6 linked regions of the Cricetulus griseus genome follow. The protein of the gene in region 1 interacts with the protein of each later gene in a biochemical or structural test. Links are inferred from orthologs where the notes say so. Each region holds a gene or a part of one and is shown in the gene's direction. Other genes may lie near its edges.

What was found.
Region 2: the proteins of Aurkb (region 1) and Klhl9 form a complex in vitro, tested with the Homo sapiens proteins (2 studies listed by BioGRID and IntAct, with this or other methods). The link is inferred for Cricetulus griseus from reciprocal best matches to the Homo sapiens genes AURKB and KLHL9.
Region 3: the proteins of Aurkb (region 1) and Cdca8 form a complex in vitro, tested with the Homo sapiens proteins (3 studies listed by BioGRID, with this or other methods). The link is inferred for Cricetulus griseus from reciprocal best matches to the Homo sapiens genes AURKB and CDCA8.
Region 4: of the proteins of Aurkb (region 1) and Klhl13, one has a biochemical effect on the other in vitro, tested with the Homo sapiens proteins (2 studies listed by BioGRID and IntAct, with this or other methods). The link is inferred for Cricetulus griseus from reciprocal best matches to the Homo sapiens genes AURKB and KLHL13.
Region 5: of the proteins of Aurkb (region 1) and Cenpa, one has a biochemical effect on the other in vitro, tested with the Homo sapiens proteins (3 studies listed by BioGRID). The link is inferred for Cricetulus griseus from reciprocal best matches to the Homo sapiens genes AURKB and CENPA.
Region 6: of the proteins of Aurkb (region 1) and Racgap1, one has a biochemical effect on the other in vitro, tested with the Homo sapiens proteins (2 studies listed by BioGRID and IntAct). The link is inferred for Cricetulus griseus from reciprocal best matches to the Homo sapiens genes AURKB and RACGAP1.

What each region holds. Positions count from the first base shown.
Region 1 is NC_048600.1:82,920,716-82,925,033, forward strand, and holds the start of Aurkb (aurora kinase B), read left to right. Parts: upstream 1-1,469; 5' UTR 1,470-1,782; coding exon 1,783-1,830; intron 1,831-2,569; exon of another isoform or gene 2,570-2,847; intron 2,848-3,420; coding exon 3,421-3,523; intron 3,524-3,630; coding exon 3,631-3,682; intron 3,683-3,833; coding exon 3,834-4,025; intron 4,026-4,187; coding exon of another isoform or gene 4,188-4,221; coding exon 4,222-4,318. UniProt on the Homo sapiens protein: Serine/threonine-protein kinase component of the chromosomal passenger complex (CPC), a complex that acts as a key regulator of mitosis.
Region 2 is NC_048595.1:59,402,329-59,406,458, reverse strand, and holds the start of Klhl9 (kelch-like protein 9), read left to right. Parts: upstream 1-1,306; 5' UTR 1,307-1,829; coding exon 1,830-3,686; 3' UTR 3,687-4,130.
Region 3 is NC_048595.1:28,118,779-28,122,824, forward strand, and holds the start of Cdca8 (borealin), read left to right. Parts: upstream 1-1,204; 5' UTR 1,205-1,431; coding exon 1,432-1,525; intron 1,526-1,634; coding exon 1,635-1,763; intron 1,764-4,046.
Region 4 is NC_048604.1:31,135,852-31,138,710, forward strand, and holds the end of Klhl13 (kelch-like protein 13), read left to right. Parts: intron 1-803; coding exon 804-1,291; 3' UTR 1,292-2,357; downstream 2,358-2,859. UniProt on the Homo sapiens protein: Substrate-specific adapter of a BCR (BTB-CUL3-RBX1) E3 ubiquitin-protein ligase complex required for mitotic progression and cytokinesis.
Region 5 is NC_048600.1:13,682,795-13,686,928, reverse strand, and holds the start of Cenpa (histone H3-like centromeric protein A), read left to right. Parts: upstream 1-1,299; 5' UTR 1,300-1,390; coding exon 1,391-1,475; intron 1,476-3,279; coding exon 3,280-3,371; intron 3,372-3,771; coding exon 3,772-3,849; intron 3,850-4,108; coding exon 4,109-4,134. UniProt on the Homo sapiens protein: Histone H3-like nucleosomal protein that is specifically found in centromeric nucleosomes. Replaces conventional H3 in the nucleosome core of centromeric chromatin that serves as an assembly site for the inner kinetochore.
Region 6 is NC_048595.1:396,064,378-396,067,928, reverse strand, and holds part of Racgap1 (rac GTPase-activating protein 1), read left to right. Parts: intron 1-1,601; coding exon 1,602-1,697; intron 1,698-1,781; coding exon 1,782-1,980; intron 1,981-3,551.

The sequences.
Region 1 (4,318 bases):
TACAAGCCTAATGTTAGAATAAGAAACATTAAAGGATTTTTAAGAACAAAGCATTTACAGAAGAGTGGATTTTGATTTGAACTGTGTTCAAATCCCACAGCTATCAGGGACCCAGCACAGAAAGTTCCACCACTGGAAACCTCTTTCTAGGAACTCAAAGGACATTTAAGAAGAAATAGAAAAGGGATAAGCAAGCTGGGCCTGATACTGTGTGCTTGTAATCCAAGTACTTTGGGAGCTGTGATGAGAGGATCAGAATTTCAAGGCAAGCCTGGGCTATATAGTGAATTGGAGGCCAACCTGAGCTTAACAGAGAGACCTGTCTCAAATAAAATCCAAATACTAATCAGACAAGGAGAATAGGGAATCCAGAAACACAGATACATATTCTACAACCATGGATTCAGCAAATTGCTTGTCTGTCTGTCTGTCAAACCTTCAAATCCATCTGTCTCATCTAATGGATTACATCTGTATTGACTTTTCCTCCCTGCATCATACTCCCTCACAGAGAGCTTTACTACTGTTTCACAGTATTTCCATAATATTAGGTAGCTAGGTGATCTAGAGATTAGCCAAAGAGCCTGAGAGAGTTACAAACTCAATGCAAATCTATGTCCTATACAATAGTATGCCTGTTTATATAAGGAACCTGAGCACTCTGGATTAGGTAACGTAGGGCGTTCTAAAGATGATACCCCAAGGATACTTAAAGAGGATTGTACAATCATTAAGGGCAGCATTTAAATTCTCCTGCGAAATAGATAGTTTTTGCTGTTTGTTCATTTTTTTCCGAGACAGGCTTTCTCTGTAATAGTCCTGGCTGTCCTGAAACCAGGCTGGCCTCGAACTCACAGACATCTACGAGTCTCTGCCTCTCCAGGTAAAACAGTTTAACCAAAGGCGTGGGCATAATTGTCTCTCCATCTGGCAGAAAAAAAGTTTTACACACGCCCATACACAGAGAGGGAGAGGGAGAGAGGGGAGAAGAGATAGGTAACAATTAATCTTAGTGTGTTGTTTTTGAGACAGGGTTCTACGCCCTGTCTAAATCCTCCTCTACTCCGCTCCCTCCCCATGACAGGGTTTTTGTCTGTGTAGCCCTGATGGTTCAAGAACTCGCTGTGTAGACCAGGCTGGCCTCGCCGCACTCAGGGATCCACCTGCCTCTGCCTCCTGAGTGCTGGGATTAAAGGTGTGCGCCACCACTGCCCAGTTTAAATTTTTGTTATTGTTTATATTATTTATTATTATTATTATTATTATTATTATTATTATTATTATTATTAATATTATTATTATACAAAAGTGTGATATCTTGGGAAAGCAGCCTCAGCCTAGAGAAAGGAGCATCTCAATCCGCTTCTTGTTTTGCGTCTCAACCAGTTACGTCACAAGAAACGTAGCCAATGAAAGCGGGCTTGGGTGGCGGCTCAGCCAATGGGCTCAGAGCGGGAGATTTGAAAGTGTCGGAGTCGCGGAGCCGCAGGGCAGGCGGCTTCTCCAACGTGCGGGCGCCGAGCTGAGAGGAGAGCCGCTGCGCCGTGGGCTCCGGAGGGCGCGGGTGGTCCACGGCGTCCGGCTCCGTTGGGCGGGCCACGTGCCAGCCCGGCCGCCTAGAGGGAGGGGTGCGGAGAGGGGCGCACAGGTGCGCCCCGACCTCGGCCTGCGCGCTGGTTTCCTTCCGCCCGCCCCCGCTTGCGCTCCCCGCAGATCTCTGCATCTTCTCCCTCTCACCGCTGCTTCCCTCTCTGCCCAGCTCTCCTCCGGCTTTTCCTTGAGATGGCCCAGAAGGAGAACACCTACCCGTGGCCCTACGGCTCGCAGAAGGTAAGGTCCCGGCCACATTCCTCGCCCCACCTCCCTCGGAAGGCAAGTCCTCGGAGGCAGATGGAGCACCCTGCCGATGGCTGTCCTCTAAGCGCTTCCGACGTGTTCCCCAAGAGTTTGCATGCAGAGCCCAGTCTGATCACTTGCAGCCGTATCCTATCCAGATGTTGTCAACCTGAATCTGAGGGCTTCTGCAGAGCTGAGTCTGCTTGTCACATGCAAATAATAACTGGGACTGAGCAAGCAGCAGTATTGTGCTTTCGGGCGGTGAATCCCACCCTTTAGTCTGAGAAAATGAACTACACAGAAATTAGACTGTAGAATACAAAGTTACTGTTTAACAGGTCCAGGAAGGTCTAAATTTTATTTGTGAGGCTGGATAGCAAACCCAGGACCTCCAGTTTTGATGTACCATTGAGCTACGCTTCAGCCCCAGAATTTATATTAATGAGTGGTTGTAGCTAAGGATCCAAATAGATTTGAAATTGTGTGTGTGTGTGTGTGTGTGTGTGTGTGAACGCATGGGCCAATCTATACTGATATCACTGGGGGAGGTTTGTAGGCACCCTGGGGCCTTCTCTTGGCTGAAGAAATGAGAAACCTGTAATACAGCACATCTGTAATGAGCTTGGCAAGCTAATGGGACCCTGAGCCCTACACCAAAATGAAGAGCTCTTCAGTCTGTCCCCGTTGGTGGGACCTGGGCATCCTGGACAGCCCATCTGCTTCCTTGTCCCAGATTCTTCCCGCATGAAGCACCGAGTAAAACCGAGAAGAGTGGAGTCTGAGTGTGACACCACTGTTACACTCACCGTGGTCACTATCAAATGGAATGATCTATTACTCAGCGAAGTCTGAAAGTGAAGAAGTGGCTTGAGGCCTTGAATATCCCTCAGCATCCCTCTGGTGTGGCAACTTCATGAGCTCGAGCTCTTATGTGAGCCTGGATGAATGTGGTGTAGAGCTATCCAGATTGGACGGTGCTGTGCTTGAGCAGGTGGTGTGGGCCAGGGCCAGGTGAATTGTTAGGTGTCAGAGGGCATCTTCTCCCTTGTCTTCGATTGCTTTCTTCATTCATTCCTTTACTTTGTTTGTTTGTTGATGTTTTGTGGGGAGGATGAGGGTGATGTTAAAACAAGGCCTTATTTAGCTCACACTGGCCTTGAACTGACTGTTGAGGATTGTCTTGAACTCCTGATCAAGGGCCTCCACCTCCTAAGTGCTGGGGTTACTGATGTGTGCCAGGAGACAGGGTTTCTCTGTGTAGCTTTGGAGCCTATCCTGGCACTCGCTCTGGAGTTCAGGCTGGCCTTGAACTCACAGCGATCCGCCTGCCTCTGCCTCCTGAGTGCTGGGATTAAAGGCATGCGCCACCAACGCCCAGCCTCAGGTTGTTTCTTAATAACCCATTTCTTCTGGAGCAATGAGCAGACCTCTGGGGCTAGGTAGTCAAACCATGGTGTATCACTATTGTTTGAACTGTGAGTGGATGGATGGACTCTTTAACAAGTAGCTGAAACGGTGCTTATAGCACATTCCAGCTAGACCACAGGGACAAGAACACACTCAGAGCTTCCCTTTTTTCCTCAGTCTCATTCAGGCCTGAACACCCTGCCCCAGAGAGTCCTGCAGAAGGAGTCTGCTGTGACATCTGCACTTGCCCTCATGAACCGGTCCAATGGCCAGTCCACAGGTACCTGGGACAATGGGGAGAGGACTGGCCCAAGGGGACCAGAATCCAAGAGAGGGTATAAGGCGAGAATGTCAAAGAGGAACTCAACATGCCTGCTCTCTCCTTAGCTGCCCCTGGCCAGAAGTTGGCTGAAAATGTCAGTCGGGGCTCCAATGCCTTGTAAGTACCCCAGAGTAAGTCGGGGAACTTAAACTGTGGTGAGGCTGAAATGGGGAAATTAAAGGGAACACAGATAGAGAGAAATCAAACACCTTAGAATCTGAGCCAGCCAGCCCTGAGCTAGCTGCCTTCCCCCCACTTTATTAATCAGGCGGTCCCTCACTATTGACGACTTTGAGATTGGGCGTCCTCTGGGCAAAGGCAAATTTGGAAATGTGTACTTGGCTCGGGAGAAAAAAAGTCATTTCATCGTGGCACTCAAGATCCTCTTCAAGTCTCAGATTGAGAAGGAGGGAGTGGAGCACCAGCTGCGCCGAGAGATCGAAATCCAGGCACACCTGCAGTATGCTACTCACCCCTGGCCCTGGCCCCTCTGCCAACCTCATCACCCCACATTCCTATTTCTGCATCCCCAGCCCTGTCTTACACCATCTGGACCACCTACCCAGCTCTTCCTTATACTTCCACCCTGATCTAGGTCTTTGCCATCTGTCCTGTCTCCTAGATGCAAGCCGAAGCTTCCTTTCTCTTTGCCCCAGACATCCCAACATTCTTCGGCTCTACAACTACTTCTATGACCGGCGTAGGATCTACTTGATACTGGAATATGCCCCGAGGGGGGAACTCTACAAGGAA
Region 2 (4,130 bases), on another chromosome or scaffold:
GGCACTGTGATTTTGTTCTTCCTTTTCCATATAGGAAGTAATCCCTTGGATGTCCCTTTTCACAGATAGCCCACACTTTACAGCAAGTCAGGGAATGCTCACCCCAACTCTTATACCAAATAGCCTCCCAGAATGTTCCTGGACTGGCAAGAATTTCTCAAGATCAGTCTCATTTAAACAGGGCTCTTGTATCAAATAGGTTGGATTGCTGCTAGAGCACCTTGGAAAAACAATGCTGGTCTACTAGCCTCTACAACATGTTTTAAGTAAGCTCTCTATATACCGATTTTGGAAAATCTTGAACAACAACAAAAAAAGAGAAAGATATAACAGGATATATGCTATTTAGTAAAAAAAGAAAAAAACCAAAACAGGAAGTAGAAGAACATAAGCATATTTTTAGTTTGCATACAAGAAAATGCTAGAAAGATTTAAAGACAGCGATAACGTCAAATTCAGAGAATAGAGAGTTATGGCAAATTATACACTTATTGCAAATCACAATTAAAATTTGCAATTAGAGAACTGTGTTTTAATAAATAAAAAAAGTCATAAAAGGGAAATCCAAGAGAAGGGAAATGCAAACCCAAGCAGTGCTGGTAACATTATTTTGGAAACATTGAGTTGAATATTCTAATAAATATTATCATTATTCAATAGAGAATAAGGTTTTGTGTGCAAATTCTCTAAGCTTATTAATTTTCCATAAGACAATGAAGGACAAGGTTTATACACTCAGGAGAAAAACAGTGGGCAAAGTAAACTATAACATGCTTAATTATTGGGAAATTGTGCAACCATTTAAAAAGTATTTAGGAAACAAAACCATGAATAAAGTCTTTATGATGGCTTTCCCTCTCCCTCCAAGTCTTCAAGAGGTATCATTAGGACCAAACTTTAGTAACAAGTTAAATGCCACGTGTTTTAAATGCTTAAAAACACTTACAACTCCTATTTTAAGTGAGGCATTTATTGAGTGTGATGTAAATTGTAAAACTTTTTTTTTTAATTAAATGATACAATGACTTATTCTGCCAGGTTTCTCCTCAGTTTTTAACAAAGGCTGCGTTTCGTGGCTGTTCTGGCACAAGCGAAGAAGCGTAAATCTTAGAAAGAATGCGCTCTTGGAAAGTGGTAAGAAAACCTCACGCAGCAAGCATGCATGCACGCCTGCGCACTCCTGCAAGCTTGCAAGAAGGGGGCCCCCTCCAGGGCCTCGCTGGGGGAGCGCAACCCCGCCCCCAGCCCGCCCGCGCCCTTCCCCCATCCGCCCGCCCCCTTGCCAGGCCAGCCGCGCAGGCGCAGTAGCTGTGCAGCCGCTCCTAACCCGGGGGATCCTGGGATTCGGCCTTTCCGGAAGGACGAGCTAGGTGTTCGGTCTAGGCCGCCGTTCCAGCCCTAAACCAGAGTTCCAGGTCCTGCTCCCAGCCGAGCCGGTGGCCGAGGAGACGCTACGCGGACCTCCGAGGGCGTAGCGGCGACTGGCGGAGGTGCGGAGCCCGGCGGGCGGTGGCGGCGGTGCGCAGGCCGTGACGGCCCCTCCCCCGCCCCGAGAGCAGCTGCAGAGGACGACAGCGCGGGCCCGCCGCGGTGAAGCGGTCGCTGAACTGCCTCAGGTTATGACTCACCGGCTTTACTGTCACATTTGAGGTCCGCCGGCCGCGTTGCGTGATCCTGCCGCAGGGCGGGCGTGGGTGTGCGCGGAGCGGAGCGGAGCGGGGCTGCGGCGACTGATCGCCCTTGGTTCGTTCTGCGGCCCTGAGTTTGCTCAGAGCGTTCTCTTTGTAACGTCTGCGGCCTGTGGCTCGCTGCGAACGCAGGGCTCTCACATGAAGGTGTCTCTCGGTACCGGCGGCGAGATGGGCGTCTCTGCCCACCTGCAGCCCTGCAAGGCAGGAACGACGCGGTTTTTTACCAGCAATACCCACAGCTCGGTGGTGTTGCAAGGCTTTGATCAGCTCAGACTCGAGGGCCTGCTTTGTGACGTGACTCTGGTACCTGGTGATGGCGATGAGATCTTCCCGGTTCATAGAGCCATGATGGCGTCTGCTAGCGATTATTTCAAGGCCATGTTCACAGGCGGAATGAAAGAACAAGATTTAATGTGCATTAAACTTCATGGGGTGAACAAAGTTGGCCTGAAGAAAATCATTGATTTTATTTATACCGCAAAATTGTCCCTTAACATGGACAATCTTCAGGACACCCTTGAAGCTGCCAGCTTTCTACAAATCTTACCAGTTTTGGACTTTTGTAAAGTATTTCTTATATCAGGCGTCTCTTTAGATAACTGTGTTGAGGTCGGACGGATTGCTAACACCTACAATCTTATAGAAGTGGATAAATATGTAAATAATTTCATCCTGAAGAACTTTCCTGCATTGCTGAGTACTGGGGAGTTCCTAAAACTCCCCTTTGAACGGCTTGCCTTTGTGCTTTCCAGCAATAGTCTCAAGCACTGTTCCGAACTTGAACTTTTCAAGGCAGCCTGCCGCTGGTTGAGGCTGGAAGACCCTCGGATGGACTATGCTGCAAAATTAATGAAGAATATTCGATTTCCACTGATGACACCACAGGACCTCATCAACTATGTGCAGACAGTAGATTTCATGAGAACAGACAATACCTGTGTGAATTTACTTTTGGAAGCAAGCAATTACCAAATGATGCCATATATGCAGCCAGTGATGCAGTCAGACAGAACTGCCATTCGCTCTGATTCCACTCACCTTGTTACCTTAGGAGGCGTTCTGAGGCAGCAGCTAGTGGTCAGTAAAGAATTGAGGATGTACGATGAAAGGGCACAGGAGTGGAAGTCCTTAGCCCCCATGGATGCTCCTCGATACCAGCATGGCATTGCTGTTATTGGAAATTTCCTTTATGTAGTTGGTGGTCAGAGTAATTATGATACAAAAGGAAAAACTGCTGTTGATACAGTTTTCAGATTTGACCCTCGGTATAATAAATGGATGCAGGTGGCATCATTAAATGAAAAGCGCACATTCTTTCACCTGAGTGCCCTTAAAGGACATTTGTATGCAGTTGGTGGGCGCAGTGCAGCTGGTGAACTGGCCACAGTAGAATGTTACAACCCAAGAATGAACGAATGGAGCTATGTTGCGAAAATGAGTGAACCCCACTATGGTCATGCCGGAACAGTGTATGGGGGTCTAATGTATATTTCAGGAGGAATTACTCATGACACTTTCCAAAATGAGCTCATGTGTTTTGACCCAGATACAGACAAATGGACACAGAAGGCTCCTATGACTACAGTCCGAGGCCTGCACTGCATGTGTACAGTTGGAGACAAGCTGTATGTGATTGGTGGCAACCACTTCAGAGGAACAAGTGATTATGATGATGTTCTCAGCTGCGAATATTATTCACCAACTCTTGACCAGTGGACTCCAATTGCTGCTATGCTGAGAGGTCAGAGTGATGTTGGAGTTGCTGTTTTTGAAAACAAAATCTATGTTGTTGGTGGATATTCTTGGAATAACCGTTGCATGGTAGAAATTGTCCAGAAGTACGACCCGGAAAAAGATGAGTGGCATAAAGTTTTTGATCTTCCAGAGTCACTTGGCGGCATTCGGGCTTGTACTCTCACAGTTTTTCCGCCTGAAGAAAACCCTGGGTCACCTTCAAGAGAATCGCCTCTTTCAGCACCTTCAGATCATTCTTAGATACAAGGTGTAATACCTTTTCAGTGTATTCATGGATGATCTCCCTTCCCCTTCAATTGTCTCTTATTACTCTCTACAGTTAATAGACAAAAAGGTAACTTAGGGTTTTTTGTTTTGCTTAATATGTTATTAAATGGCTACCAAGTACATTCTGAAAAAAATGTGTTTTAACACATATTTAGCTGTTTTAACAAGTGAAAGATATATGAAAAATTAGATATCTTTTGTGGTGTTACATATGTCAAATTGTAGGTGATCATAGTGAATGTGTAATTGTCTATTATGCTACAAAGTTGAAAGTTTTGATTTGACTAAAACAGTAAAATGAAGGTCCCCCTGTTATAAACTAAAATAATAAAAGATTGCCAAGGTACAGCTACCTCCCTCTTGGATAGTTTTTGACAATTTGTTAACTAGGCTATGTGATTACTCTTAGAATATATG
Region 3 (4,046 bases), on another chromosome or scaffold:
GAGAAGCCCACACCCACTTCGCTATTTCATACTTAATTTTTTGAGTAGCCTGCAAGTGTCTTTTATTTTCTGTCTAGGTGCCTCTCTCTTAAGCCTCGTCCTTAAGCCTGTATTAAAAATAACTTTTAAAAAAAAGCAGGGCGTTGGTGGCACACGCCTTTAATCCCAGCACTCAGGGTACAGAGGCAGGCCGATCTCTGTGAGTTCGAGGCCAGTCTGGTCTCCAGAGCGAGTTCCAGGACAGGCTCCAAAACAATACAGAGAAACCTTGTCTCAAAATACAAACAAAAAATTAATAGTAACTTTAGGCTGGGCGTGGTAGCATACACCTTTATTCCAGCACTGAGGAGTCAAGAGACAGACAGGTCTCTGAGATAGAGGCAACCTGGTCTACATAGAGAGTTCCAGGCCAGACAGTGTTACATTCCTACTCTCGTGTGTGTGTGTGTGTGTGTGTGTGTGTGTGTGTGTGTGATTTTGCTTTTTTCCATGTTTTTAACTTTTTAATTTCATTTTACATTCCAACCACAGCTCCCCCTCCCACCCATAACTCTGCTTCTTAAACTGGCTAGCCCTGAATTCTTTGCAGCTTCAAAGCCACCAACTGGGCTGCAGTCTCTAAAAGCTTAGGGGAACGCCTCACGCTGCTGAGGGTGGCAGGGTGAAGCTGTGGCTCTGTCTTGTCACCGCTGACTTTCAAGAGTGGAGGCTCTGGCGATCCTCTTACCAGCTCTCTCTGCAGAAGGACCCTTGCTTCTCACCTCAGGAAGGGGGTCCTAGAAGTCTTCAAAAGAGGCTTCCAAAGGACAGGGCAACCTTCCGCTTTAGACTGCGAGTCCCTGGGGCCTGTCTCTCCTCGAACTCCTGCTTCTGGAGCCAGGGTCTTATCTCCTCTGAGACTGCCAGCCGTGTCCCTAAATCCGCAGGAAAACTCAAATCCTGGGTAGCCAAAGCTAAGTGGACACCAAGAACCACACTGCGCTTGGCACTCTCTGCACATGCTCAAAAGCAAACCCTACAGTCTAGTTCCACTTAGCGCGACTCTGGAGTCGCGAAAAGAAAGCGTAGGCCGCAATGTCCTCTGGGCATTGAAGTCCTCTATAGAGATTGGTTGCGGGATGAAGAAGCTTTGTTGTGATTGGGCGGTGAGAGAACCGTCCCAAGACGGCGACTTGTTATTGGCCAACCTGTATCCGTTGAGTTTGAATTGGGTGGCGGTTAGCGGAGGCGCAACCTCTCCCTCAGCTGGAGCTGCGAGGTTTCCTGGGTCTGTGTTTCGGCGCCTGCAGGGACACGTCCGCAGACTTCTGGGTACCAGACTCCAACGACTGAACCCCCGCTGCTCCGTGAGCGCTCACGTCCTCTTTCCCCGTCTCAGCCGCTGAGCCGGCTGCTCGGTCCTTCGTTCGACGCAGCCTTCACCCCGGCGCCATGGCTCCCAAGAAGGGCAGCAGCCGGGGCGCCAGAGCTAACGCGCTGCGGAGCCGCAAGCTCGCCTCCTTCCTTAAGGACTTCGACCGCGAGGGTAAGGGGCGGATCCGCGGCCTTCGAGAATTTCGGGCGGGTTGGGGCGCGGGTGCGATGGCTTCGCCCTCTTGTTGACACTGGATCCGTCGGCTTTGATCTCTCCGCAGTGCAAATTCGAATCAATCAAATCGAGTCCGACAGACAGAACCTCCTCAAGGAGGTGGAGAACCTATACAACATCGAGATCCTTCGGCTCCCCAAGGCGCTGCGCGAGATGAATTGGCTTGACTACTTTGGTAAGAGCCGCTAGCGGTTTTTCCTGGTAGCCGACTAGTGCTTATCTTAAAAGCTTTTGTAGGGACTCGATCTTAATGAGGACTAGCATAACCACTCGTGGGGAATTGCCGCTTGTCGTAACTTGTGGAAGAATGACAGGCCCGTAGAAAGGAAGCTGGCATGAATTACCCCTCAGATGAGCGTTAGTAGGACAGAGAGAGAGAGAGAGAGAGAGAGAGAGAGAGAGAGAGAGAGAGAGAGAGAGAGAGAGAGAGAGGTGAGTTATGCTAGCCTATGTGCTAATAAGCAAGGACACAGGAGCTAGGAATGAATATAAAGTTGTCCTGCAGCTTTACAGAGGAGGGACAGAATTGCAAGGCCACAGCACATCACTCTCTCTTTCTTGTCATGTCTCTGTCCAAGGAGAGAGTTGGGGAGGTATATCCCTATTTAGAGGAGGAAGAGAGGGGTCTGTGGTCTGAATCCACCCTACTGCCCAGTCTTACCTGGGACTGTCATCCAGCCCATGGGGTAGGCAAACGCTTAGGTAACAAATGTTTTAGATTTCTGGAACTGATGAAATTTATTTCTGGGCACACTGAAATGTCAATTTCACACAGTTTTCACACATCAGGAAATACTTGTGTATACTCAAACTTTTGAAAATGAATAAATTAAGAATAAAATGATTGGGCTTTGTCATAGCTCAAGTAGAACAGTATCCTCAAATAGCTCTTTCTTATGGAAATTGCCAATTTAAAAGCAAGCAAGTCACATGTGAACTGCAAAGACAGGAGTATTTTTCTGACCAGAGGAAAATCCCAACCCATTTCCCACCACTTGTTAGACATCCGGTACAACATGGGGGCTTCTTCCTCTCCCATCCACTAGGTGGCTGGTGCTTTCTCCATTTTCCTCATCATTGATAGCTACCAGGGTGTGTGTCTTCCTGGGTGGAAGTACATGTTTTGCTCACAAGAGCTGTGATTCTTCTGACATGCCTCATTAATCCATGTGTTCATTTCTACAAAGTTGAGTGTCAGTCCCTATGCTAGGTACTAAAGATGCAGTAAGGGATAAAACATATATTGTTCCCACACTAGAAGCTTATAGGTTATTGGAGAAGGGTCGTTTAAAAATTCACATAGAAGCTGAGTGATAGTGGCACACACCTGGTCTAAATTAAGCTCCAGGACAGCCAAGTCTACACAGAGAAACCCTGTCTTGGGAAAAAAATCATATAGCAGTAGAATTTTTTTTCTTGGTCTTTGAGAACAGAGTTTCTCTGTGTAGATTTGAAGCCTGTCCCAGAACTACAGAACTCACTCTGTAGACCAGGCTGGCCTTGAACACAAAGAGATCTGCTTGCCTCTGCCTCCCGAATGCTGGGATTAAAGGCAAGCACCACCACAACCTGGCAGAATTAGAATTTTAAATACTACAAAAAAGATGGAAGTAATAGCCAGTAAGTACAACTTAATCATAATAGTAGGCCAGTTTTGTTTTTGTTCTTGAGACAGGGTTCCTTTGTGGCCCTGGCTGTCCTGGACCTCTACTTAGATAAAGTGTCTTGAGATCCACCTGCCTCTGCCTCCCGAGTTCTGGGATTAAAGGTTTGTGCTTCCATGCCAGACAGTGGACCAATTTTAGAATGATAAGATTATGACAGAGAGAGATACATTACTCGGGATCTCATATTTGAGCCCCAGGCATTCTGTTTATAAGGCCCAAGATCTTAACTGTGTACACAGGATTCCATGAGGATTTCTAACAAAAGGAGGGAACCTAAGTTCTCATTCTACATCTAGATCTAACAAAGTCCTTTTTCTTAGTTTGCACATTTACTATGCTAGGTTTTTACCAGGACCAAGGGATATTACCTCTAGAATTCAGTTCAAGCAGGAGTAGACACCTAAATAGCTTTAGTAGATTTTGAGTAATTTGCTATACTATGTATATATGTATTTACAGTTTGAAGCAGTCTATTATAATAGAAAGATTAACAGTTAAAGTGTGGCGTTTGAGCTGAATTTTAAAGAATGAGTAGAAATTTGTAGGGTGCAGAGAATTGTACTAAGCAGGAGAAATACTTAATATCAAAGCACTGAGTCATGGGACAGTTGCATTTTTGGGGAACAAGAACTTTGAGGACATAGAAGGTAGAATAACTAGCTACAACAGGAAGGGGTCAAACTGGAAGAATGTAAAAAGCAGTGCTAGACCCAAGGTTTCATTGATCTAGTTTGAGAAAGGTAATTGATAGTACTGGGAAAGACAATTCCTCATTCAGACCTGATAGTTAC
Region 4 (2,859 bases), on another chromosome or scaffold:
TGCCACTTCATAGCTCTTCAAATGATACAGCTAAAGATTAGCTTAGGTCTGCTCCTTGTTTGCCGAAGGTAAAGATTGATACTTTCATTACATAGGTTGGATTATGTTTCTTAGTCTTAATCAATTTGTAGGTTATAAAGACCAAATACACCAACAATCAACTGTTACATATATAATGGTCAGAATTTCAATTCTTTAGCTTTGCAAAGCAGATAGCAGATGTCACTTCTTCCTGTTCATTCCAAACTCTCCAAACCCAAGAATTTTGCATAATCTTCCAGGTTGGTATGTTACTGGCATGAGACATTCAACCCTTTTTAACAAAAATTTTGCTTTGTATTCATAATCCTAATATGTTAGCCAGAATGGGTATTCTGATTTGGAAAAGGAGTTCATGGGAACCTGGAATTTAAAGTGCTCTAGTCCAGTGCTCATCACCCATAGCCTACCCACTAAAATGTCACAACAGACTGATGCTTTGTAGATCACATTTACTGATGACTCAACTATAATAGTGGCCCAAATATATTTCCATTCATTGAAACTTCTTAAGTATGATCACTCTCCATTTGAGAAAGTTACTGTAATAATATAAGACCTTTTTCATTGGTCTTGAAATGTTGAACACGGTATTTTCTTTATTTTTTGTTAAAATAATTATAGAGTGATGATACTTATAAATTTACTATTTGTAAGCTACAATATGCCATAAAATATAACTAAAAGTTAATTATCTATGAGAGAGCCTTACTTTTGCATTGTTATGATCTCTTTGCCTCATGCCTATTATTTTCCTTCTCTAGGAGGCATTACCCATGACACCTTCCAAAAGGAGCTCATGTGCTTTGACCCTGATACTGACAAATGGACCCAGAAGGCACCGATGACCACTGTCCGAGGCCTACACTGCATGTGTACAGTGGGCGACAGGCTGTATGTCATTGGAGGCAACCATTTCCGGGGAACCAGTGATTATGATGATGTCCTGAGCTGTGAATACTATTCGCCTATCCATGACCAGTGGACCCCAATCGCTGCCATGTTAAGAGGGCAGAGTGATGTTGGGGTCGCTGTCTTTGAGAATAAGATCTATGTGGTTGGTGGATATTCATGGAATAATCGCTGTATGGTTGAGATAGTGCAGAAATATGATCCAGAGAAAGATGAGTGGCATAAGGTTTTCGATCTTCCTGAGTCCCTTGGTGGCATTCGCGCTTGTACACTTACAGTTTTTCCGCCTGAAAGCAGCACACCATCACCTTCTAGAGAGTCCCCTCTTTCTGCACCCTGATCATCCTTACAATTAAAATGCTATATTGCTCTCTTTGAAATGTGTCATGATTATCTTCTTTTCCTCCCTTAAGTAGTATATCTGTTAGAATTAGCCTCCAGTAATTGATACAGATATTGGAAAAATTGACATTGATGTTCCTTGTGATGTTTGTATGGCCTAGAATGTTTATAAAGTGGTAACAAACCATCCTGGAAATATATCCCATAGAAGCTGATGTTTAACAAGAAAAAAAAGTATTGTCTATAAAATGTTTCTTCAGTACTTTTTTCATGCTGTGTACTGGTTGTAAGGTATTTGTCATCTTACATTGTAAGCCAAGTTGAAGGTGGATTGTAGTAAATGTACAACTGTGTTCACTAAGCTTCAGAGTAAAGAAGTTTTCCTCTCATCTTTAACTGTAAGATATCAAAGGGAGGCAGCCTGCTCCAGCAAGAAACAATACACAAAAGGTTGCCAACTCGCATGAGATACCTCCCTCTTTTCATGAAGTATTTTTGACACATCTGTCAACCCACCTGACCGTGTGGGTGCATTGAGAACACACCAAGTTTCTTAGACACACAGGAGAAATAACTGAAATTCACAACATTAGTATGTGGGGAGGGAAGCATGAACCCTCTACTTATAAGAATTAATTTGGGGTTTTGTAGTGTGTATAAATATGCACACATACTTATATCAAACACAGATTTTTAAAAATTGAGTATTATATCAAATAAATGTGAAATTAAAAAAATTGAATCTTCTAAAAAGCAGCTTCCGTGAAAAATGGGGATTCAGTATGGACAACACCGAACACATATATGTAGAATCATACTGAATTTAGGTGGATAAGGGCTAGAAATTTTGAGCAACTAAATTTGTCATTTGACCAAATTTTATCTTTAAAAAAAATCTGTATTCTCTTCCTTCTCCTTTGCTGTTGAGGTAACTTACTTGTTCTATGTATTCTGTATACTCTTGGTTCATGAGATTATTTAGCACAAAGTGTAGCAGCTTCACCAGAGAGCTGCCTTTGCTCTATGATGTTCATGTTTTCCCTTCTTTATTCAATAAAAATCAATGTCGCTCTGCTCTGTGCTCTCCATTATTCTCTGATTTGACTTCCGTTTATTGAGGGAGCTGGGTGGTGGTGGTGCATGCCTATAATCCCAGAACTTGGGAGGCAGAGGCAGGAGGATCTCTTTGAGTTCAAGGCCAGCCCAGTCTACAGAGTTTCAGGACAGCCAGGGCTGTTACACAGAGAAACCCTGTCTTGGGAAATAAATCTTTTGAGGGGTGAGACTAAGGAGATTGAACAAGTATGTGCGACTTTTATTCAAAGAGCAAAGACTTGAGCCAGCCCTCACCTCACTGTGCAGATGTTGCTTGTTGCCTTTGAGGAATTAGTTGGTGAAAGATTCTAACTGGCTATTATGCAGCCCAGTGCCATGCTTGTGTAAACTGCAGAAGCAGTTACATGCCCCTTCCCTTTCTTTTACCTTCTCTTCCCTCTTTGCTATAACCTGCAAAGCTTGGTCCAGAAACCATGAGTAGGTGTGGTGAGGGAAATGTAAAAATGACAG
Region 5 (4,134 bases), about 69 Mb from region 1:
AGGGTTTCTCTGTGGCTTTGGAGTCTGTCCTGGAACTAGCTCTAGTAGACCAGGCTGGTCTCAAATTCACAGACATCCGCCTGTCTCTGCCTCCTGAGTGCTGGGACTAAAGGTGTATGCCACCACCGCCCAGCATCATATAGTAATTCTATGTTTAAATTATGTGTTTGTAGGTAGCATACTGAGGATTGAACACAGAACCTTGTATATGAGGCAAGTGCTTTAACATGAGCTATGTCAGCCTTTGTTTGTTTGGTTTTTTGTTTGTTTGAGACAAATTTTACTACATAGGATGACTAGCCTAGAACTCACTAAGCTAGGCTGCCCTGAACTTAGAGCAAACCTCTTGCCTCTACCTCCCAAATGCTGGAATTAAGATCCACAGATGAAGTCAGGGCACCTATGGCCCCATCTCCCAAAGCCCCCACCCCTGAGCACTGCTGCACTTGGGACCAAGCTTCTGTAGGACATTTCAGGTTCCAGCCATGACACATTTCCATAGCAGCTGCACCATTTTACACCACCCACCCCAGTGTTGCAGAAGGGTTCTGTGAAACCACTGATTATATAAGGAGATTCTTGATTAGAGTACACGTTCATGGTAGAGCATTTAGAAAACTCAAAAAAGCAAAATGACGAAATTGAAATCCTCTTTATTCTAATTGCAGAGATATGACCCGAATTCATATTACTCCCAGGAGAAAGGGAAAAGCTGTTTTTTTTTTTTTTCTCTGACAGTTCTGTCATGGTGTTCAATAGTATAGTCCAGGAACAGTGCTGGCTCGTGCCCTGCCTGGACCTTGTCCTCAGATCCCATCGTCCTGGCTGTCCCCTCGACCCTAGAAAAGTTCACGGTGTTAACCTGGCCTCTGAATCCTATTTGCTGGTTGCTCTCGGGAGGGTCCCTCCCGGGAGCTGTGTGGAGTGTCACATTTTTGGGCGGTCTGTTTCTCCATTCTCAAAGCCACACCAACGTTGATACGAAAGCGTAAAACGTTTGAGGGAATGAATTCTAAAAACTCACCACCTACATCAGACTGAGTTGTCCTTTTGCCCAGAGGGCACCAGAGCAAGCTAGTCGGGTCAGTCAAAGATCAACACGCAAAATGTGAGAAAGCCCCGCCTTCCTTAGCTTCTCCAAGTGCCCATTGGCTGACTCTGCGGCCAGACCCTCATTCTCACTGGTCCTTGTGGCTGTCGCTCCACGGTGGCGTTCCAGAGCCAGCCACTGAGAGTCACGGAATTGGGGATTTAAAAAATGCGGTAGGCGGGGTGGGTTTTTTTCAAACTGATGGCGGCCGAGCTCCTGCGGCTCTGACACGCTCAGTCACCTCGCTCTCTCGTCGGGCTTAGCGGAGGCGGCGGAGCTTGGACCCACTCGCGGCCAACCATGGGCCCGCGCCGCAAGCCGAGGACCCCGAGAAGGCGCCCCTCCAGCCCGGTCCCCGGACCCTCGCGACGCAGCTCCCGTCCAGGTAAGCGGGCCTGCCGGAACCTCAGCTCTGAGGGTGCTGGGGACGGCCGGCTTGAAGAGGGTTCCGAACCCGGGAAACCACAGGCCTAAGGGTAAGGGTGCTGAGAACACAGCTCAGGCCTTCTGGAAGAGCGACAAGCGCTGTTTAACTGTTGAGCAAGCTTTCCAAGCCCAACATTTTATTATTTTACTAGCATACTTGGTCTCCCCAGCCTAGTTCAAATCACTGGCGTTTCTTCTGTCCTCCCTTGACTCACAGTTGAGAGTTCTGTCCACGGCCATTTGGGCTGGAGGCATGGGGCAGACGTGATGCTGGGGGAAGCTGAGAGTTCTGGATCTGGATCTGGAGGCAGCAGGAAGTAATGATGACACACTGGAGCTTCTGAGACCTCAAAGCCCACCCCTAGTGGCATGCCTCGTCCAACAACGCCACATGTCCAACTAGTGCCACTCCCTATGGGCCTGTGGGGCCATTTTTTCAGACCAGCACATTATTATTTACATGTGTTCATGTTTGCCTGCATTTGTGTGTTTATGTGTGTGTACACGTGTGCACGCACACCAAACCTAGAACCTCTGCAAGAACAACAAATACTCTTAACCAATGAGCCATCTCTCCAGCTCCAATTTTTATTTCTAATCATATGTATATGCACCGTAGTACAGGTGCCCAAGTCATTAGTGCCCCCTGGACCTAAAGTATAGGCAGTATGAGCCACCTGATGTAGGCGCTAGGAGCCAAACTTGACTCCTCCTTAACAATGATACACACTCTGACCACTGAACCATCTCTAGCTAGGCCTTAATTCATTTGGCATTCTTGTTTTCTACTAGATATGTTTGCCTCTGGTGCTTTTAGTTGTTTTATGTTTTGTTTTGTTTTGAAGGCGGGTTTCTCTGTGTAGCCCTGGCTGTCCAGGAACTCACTCTGGAGACCAGGCTGGCCTCGAACTCACAGAGATCCTCCTGTCTCTGCCTCCCGAGTGCTGGGACTAAAGGCGTGCGCCACCACCACCTGGCTCTTTTAGGTTTTTAAAAGTAAATTTTTATATTATTCATCTTAAATAGTCTAATATCAGTTAAGTTTCCTCTTCAACATTAGGGTTAGATGTATTTTTTCTTTGTGTTTCAGGGGTTTGAACCTGTGGCTTTGTGCATGTTGATCAAGCACTTTACTGCAGAGCTGCATCTCTAGAGCAGAGGGTTTTTTTTAAGTTTGGTATTTTTATTTTCTAGTGAGAATTTGAATTTTTACCAAAGGCTGTGGCTTCACAGCCCGCATTCCTAGCATTAGCACTGAATTATGCCACTTCTAAGGTCCCAACTTGGCCTCTAATGAGCACTAGCCAACTATCTTTACTTCCCTGGGCCCAAGACAAGCAAGATAAGAGATCCGTACTAGGTAGTATCTCATTCCCTCCAGCTGTTACAAAGAAAGAAAGGACCTAAAAACTGAATAACGAACTTGGAACATCTAGGTGGGAATGGGAAAGATATGAAATGCATGGGACCCAACAGGAAGGATCTGTTAGGAAGGAACTGGGATTTGAGAAAGGCTTCATGGAGTTAACACTCCAACCCAAAGGCCCAGACTGCACTCACTCTCTTAGTAAGCCTGTGGTGAGCACCTGTGTGTCTTTTCACACTCAGTGTGTGGCAAGCACTCGTGTGCTCTTGCTGACTCCACCAACTAGAAAAAAGAGAATCCCTGCTCTGTGGAGTATAGTGGCAAGGTTTGTCTTCAGCTGGGCCACAAGGTACCACTTATTTCCACAGCACTTCCCTTATGACCTAACTCTCCTCAGGTAAGAGGCGGAAATTTCTGTGGCTTAAGGAGATAAAGAAACTGCAGAGGAGCACCGACCTCCTGCTAAGGAAGCTTCCTTTCAGCCGAGTTGTGAGTTCTGGGGACACCCTCACTCTGCCTTGGACCACCTTTGCTTTAAGCCTCCCACATATGGGAGATTTCTGCTTCTTGCTGATGTGGATAAAGGTTGCTTCTAACCCTCTGGGGCGCTGCACATCCTCGGTTTTTCTGTTGCTGATTTCTCATTACTGTAGTAGAGCCCTCTCACCCAGTTTCCCTCCATACCCTGGAGATTGCCTTTTCTTCTCTCCACCCATAAGCTATGCCAGTTAAAGCTCCCAGGAGTCCGCACCTACCCTGAGCCAGGCCCTTAGATCAAGGGCAGCACATAATGGTGGAAGTGAGGATGCTTAGAGATACTTGGAGAAAGACCATCTACTCTTTGATCACTCTGCTATTCTCAGCTCATCCCCACCCTGCTCCTCCACAGGTAAGAGAAATATGTGGGAAATTCACTCGAGGTGTGGACCTATGTTGGCAAGCCCAAGCCTTGTTGGCCCTTCAAGAGGTAAGAAGGAGTAGGTATTGGTAAAGGCTAAAAGGGGGAAGAGCATCCCAGAATTCCACAGGACGGCATAAGGGGTGGGTACCACAGACTGTTCCTGGCCTCCTGAAAAGAGTAGCCAATGGGCAATACCTGACAATTTGGGAGGGTCTGATGGGTGGCCATTGGGTTCACCCCATTCTTTACTTCAGTCCTTTGAGTCAGTATGTCTCCAAGAAAAAACAGTCCAGGTCCTTCATCCATGTCAGTCTTTGTGTCCCAGGCAGCAGAAGCATTTCTAGTTCACCT
Region 6 (3,551 bases), on another chromosome or scaffold:
TTAACCAGGGGACTACAGAAATGACTCATCAGTTAAGAGCATAGGCTGCTCTTCCAGAGGACTCAGATTGGATTCTTGGCACTCACATGGCAGCTCAGAATTGTCTGTAATTCTAGTTCCAGGGGAATCTAATTCCCTCTTCTGGCTTCTGAGGGCACTGCATGCACATGGCGCTCATACATACACCCAGGCCAAATATTCGTGCACATAGCATAAATCTAAAAGGTATTTGAAGAAATTTACATCAGTGTACTTTTGATTTTTCTAGACAGGGTTTCTCTGTGTAAACCTGATTGTCCTGGAACTCTCTATAGACCAAACTGTCCTGGAACTCAGAGATCCACCTGCCTTTCCTGGATTACAGTCTGTGCCATCACACCCAGCCCATAGCTGAAATCTCTTCATTGCTTACTTTCTCTTGTCTTTGAGTAAAAGAAAAGGAAGTACTTAACAGTTGGTGGCATCAGCTGAGTGTTGGTGGCTCACGCCTTTGATCCCAGTACTGGGAGGCAGAGGTAAGGGGATCTCTGTGAATTGAAGGCCAGCCTGGTCTACAGAGCAAGTTCCAGGCCAGGCTCCAAAGCAATACAGAGAAGCCCTGTCTCAAAAAAAAAAAAAAAAAAAAAAAGTTGGTGGCATCATTACTTGCTCATGAAAAAGTGTTGTTTGTATAAATCAGTAGCATCGTGAAGGTAAGAAAAGTGATCAAGACTCTTGTTTTTGTTTTGAGACAGGATAGGATCTCTTGCAGCCAAGGATAGCCTCAAACTTACTATGTAGTTTAAGATAACCTTGAAACTCTAGTCCTGCTCCTATCTCCAGAGTGCTGGGATAACCGACATGAACCATCATGTATAGTGTATGAATTGGTAGGGACCAAAACCAAGGCCTCACATGCGCTAGGTATGCATTCTACTAACTGGGCCATACTCCATCCCTACAAGACTTTTAAAAAATTTTATTATTATTATTTAAACTGTGTATGGGTTGGGGTATGTATACATGAGTTCAGGTACCTCTGGAGGCCAGAGATGTCAGATTCCCCTGTTGTGTGCCACTTGGTTTGGGGGTACTGGGAAGTGAACTCAGGCCCTCTGAAAGATGTTTCATGTTCTTACCTGCTAAGCTATCTCTCAGCCCCTGTGGTGGTTTGAAAGAAAATGACCCTTAAAGTGAGTGGCACTATTAGGAGGTATGGCCTTGTTGGAGGAAGTATGTTACTGTGGAGGCAGGCTTTGAGGTCTCATATACGCTCAAGCCACACCCAGTGATACAGACCACTTCCTGCTGTCTATATATCAAGATGTAGCCAGCACCATGTCTGCTTGCACGCCACCAAGCTCCCTGCCATGATGTTAATGGACTGAACCTCTGAAGCTGTAAGCTACCACATCAGTTAAATGGTTTCCTTTATAAGAGTTGCTGTGGTCATGGTGTCTCTTCACAGCAATAATAGAAACCTTCACTGAGACAGCCCCCAAGACTGTTTTAATGTGTACTTTGAGAATATAAATTCAAAACCTGATATAATATCTTTGTGTTTAACGGCAGCTCTCTCTCTTGGTCTCAGTGATGTAAGAAATAAAGACCCTTTTTTCCAGGGAATGTTGGCAGATTTTGTGTCCCAGACTTCTCCAATGATTCCTGCTATTGTTGTCAGCTGTGTGAATGAGATAGAGCAGCGAGGCCTGACTGAGGTGAGAGTGGACTCCACACAGGGTGAGCTTGTTGTTTGTGTTAGTAATTTGGGAGTTCCTGACTAAGTGTTGTCTTTATAATAGGCAGGCTTATACAGGATCTCAGGCTGTGACCGAACAGTAAAAGAGCTGAAAGAGAGATTCCTCAAAGTGAAAACTGTACCCCTCCTCAGCAGAGTGGATGACATCCATGCCATCTGTAGCCTCCTGAAAGACTTTCTTCGGAACCTCAAAGAACCCCTTCTGACCTTTTGGCTAAGCAAAGCCTTTATGGAGGCCGCAGGTAAGGGCAGAGCTTGGTGCTTGACTGTGATTCCAGGACTGAATTTTGCTCATACATTTTACTATCCCTGCTGCCCAGTACAGTGCCTGGGCAGTAGGTACTCATATAATTGGTGGGTGAATAACTACTATATACGTCATCCTGCCTTTTTCTTCTTTAGCTATATAGAGGGTCTAAGAGATGGCTAAGTGGCTGAGCACTGGCTGCTCTTCTAGAGAACCTGGGTTTGATTCCCAGCGTCTGCATGATGGTTGGGTGGTGCCACCTGAAACTCCAGTCCAGGAAATCTGATGTCCTCTTCTGGCCTCTTTGGGTACTACATGCAATGTAGCTCAGACATTAAAAAAAAAATGTTTCATAATAAAAAAAATGTACGTAAAATGAATAGGATTTTATAGGGTTTGTTGTTGCTGTTTGCTTTTTGGTCAAGTCTTATGTTGTCCTTTTGAGATCAGAACCATCTTTGATTCCTTTCTTTTCCACCACAAATCTTGTCAGTAGACTTGTAAATACACCTTAAATTTGATATTTATCACAAGTCATGGTATTAACTGTCCCTGTCTACTAATTGTAGAGCTGGCATGTCCCTTTCACATGGTAATCTCTATGCAGGAGTTGGAGTAGTCCTTTTACACTCCAAATTCATGATGTCCTTTTTGTCATCTATCCATTATTTTTAGTTTATGTTATCATAGTGTTTTTGAGACAGTGTTTCTCTGTGTAGCCCTGTCTGTCCTGGAATGCACTCTGTAGATCAGGCTGGCCTCCCGAGTGCTGGGATTACAGGCGTGTGTCACCACCGCCCGGCTTTCCCATCAGTTTTAGACTGAATTCATCCCTAACATGGTTGAAAAGACCCTGTGTGACTTGGCGCTTGGTTATGCCTCCAACGCCATTTTGCTTTGTACCTTCCTTCCTCTTTTTGAATCCTGGAGTCAGTTTCTTTTTATTTTGTTGTGTGTGTGTGTGTGTGTGTGTGTGTGTGTGTGTGTGTGTGTGTGTGTTTTTGCCTGCATATATGTCTGTACCACATGCACATAGTGCATACATAGGCCTGAAGAGGGTGTCGGATCCCCTGGAACTGGAGTGGCAAAACAATTGTAAGTCACTGTGTGGGACTTGGGAATTGAACCCTGGTCCTCTGCAAGAGCAGCCAGTGCTCAGCCACTGAGCCATCTCTCTGGCCCTAAGTCTTGGATTTCTTAGCATATAATCACCTCAAGTCCTTCCTACTTGTTAGTCTTAGCACCAACTTTTTCTCCCTAGATCTGTTTGTAGTTTGCTTTACTCCCACCACCCCCAGCTTCTCTTCATATATTTTGTCCTCAGAAACACTTTTCCTAAACCAGGTTTGCTGACATAGTAATCCCAGCATGTGGGAGGTGAGGCGATATTGATACCAGCTTTGGCTGCATGGTGAGCTTGAGACTAGACTAGGCTACCTGAGAACCAGTTTCAAAGACTAAACAAAAGCTGCCCTGGGCTGGCGAGATGTCTTGGAGGTTAAGAGCACTGACTGCTCTTCCAGAGGTCCTGAGAGGTGGCAGCTTCCATTGCTTTCTAGTATCCTG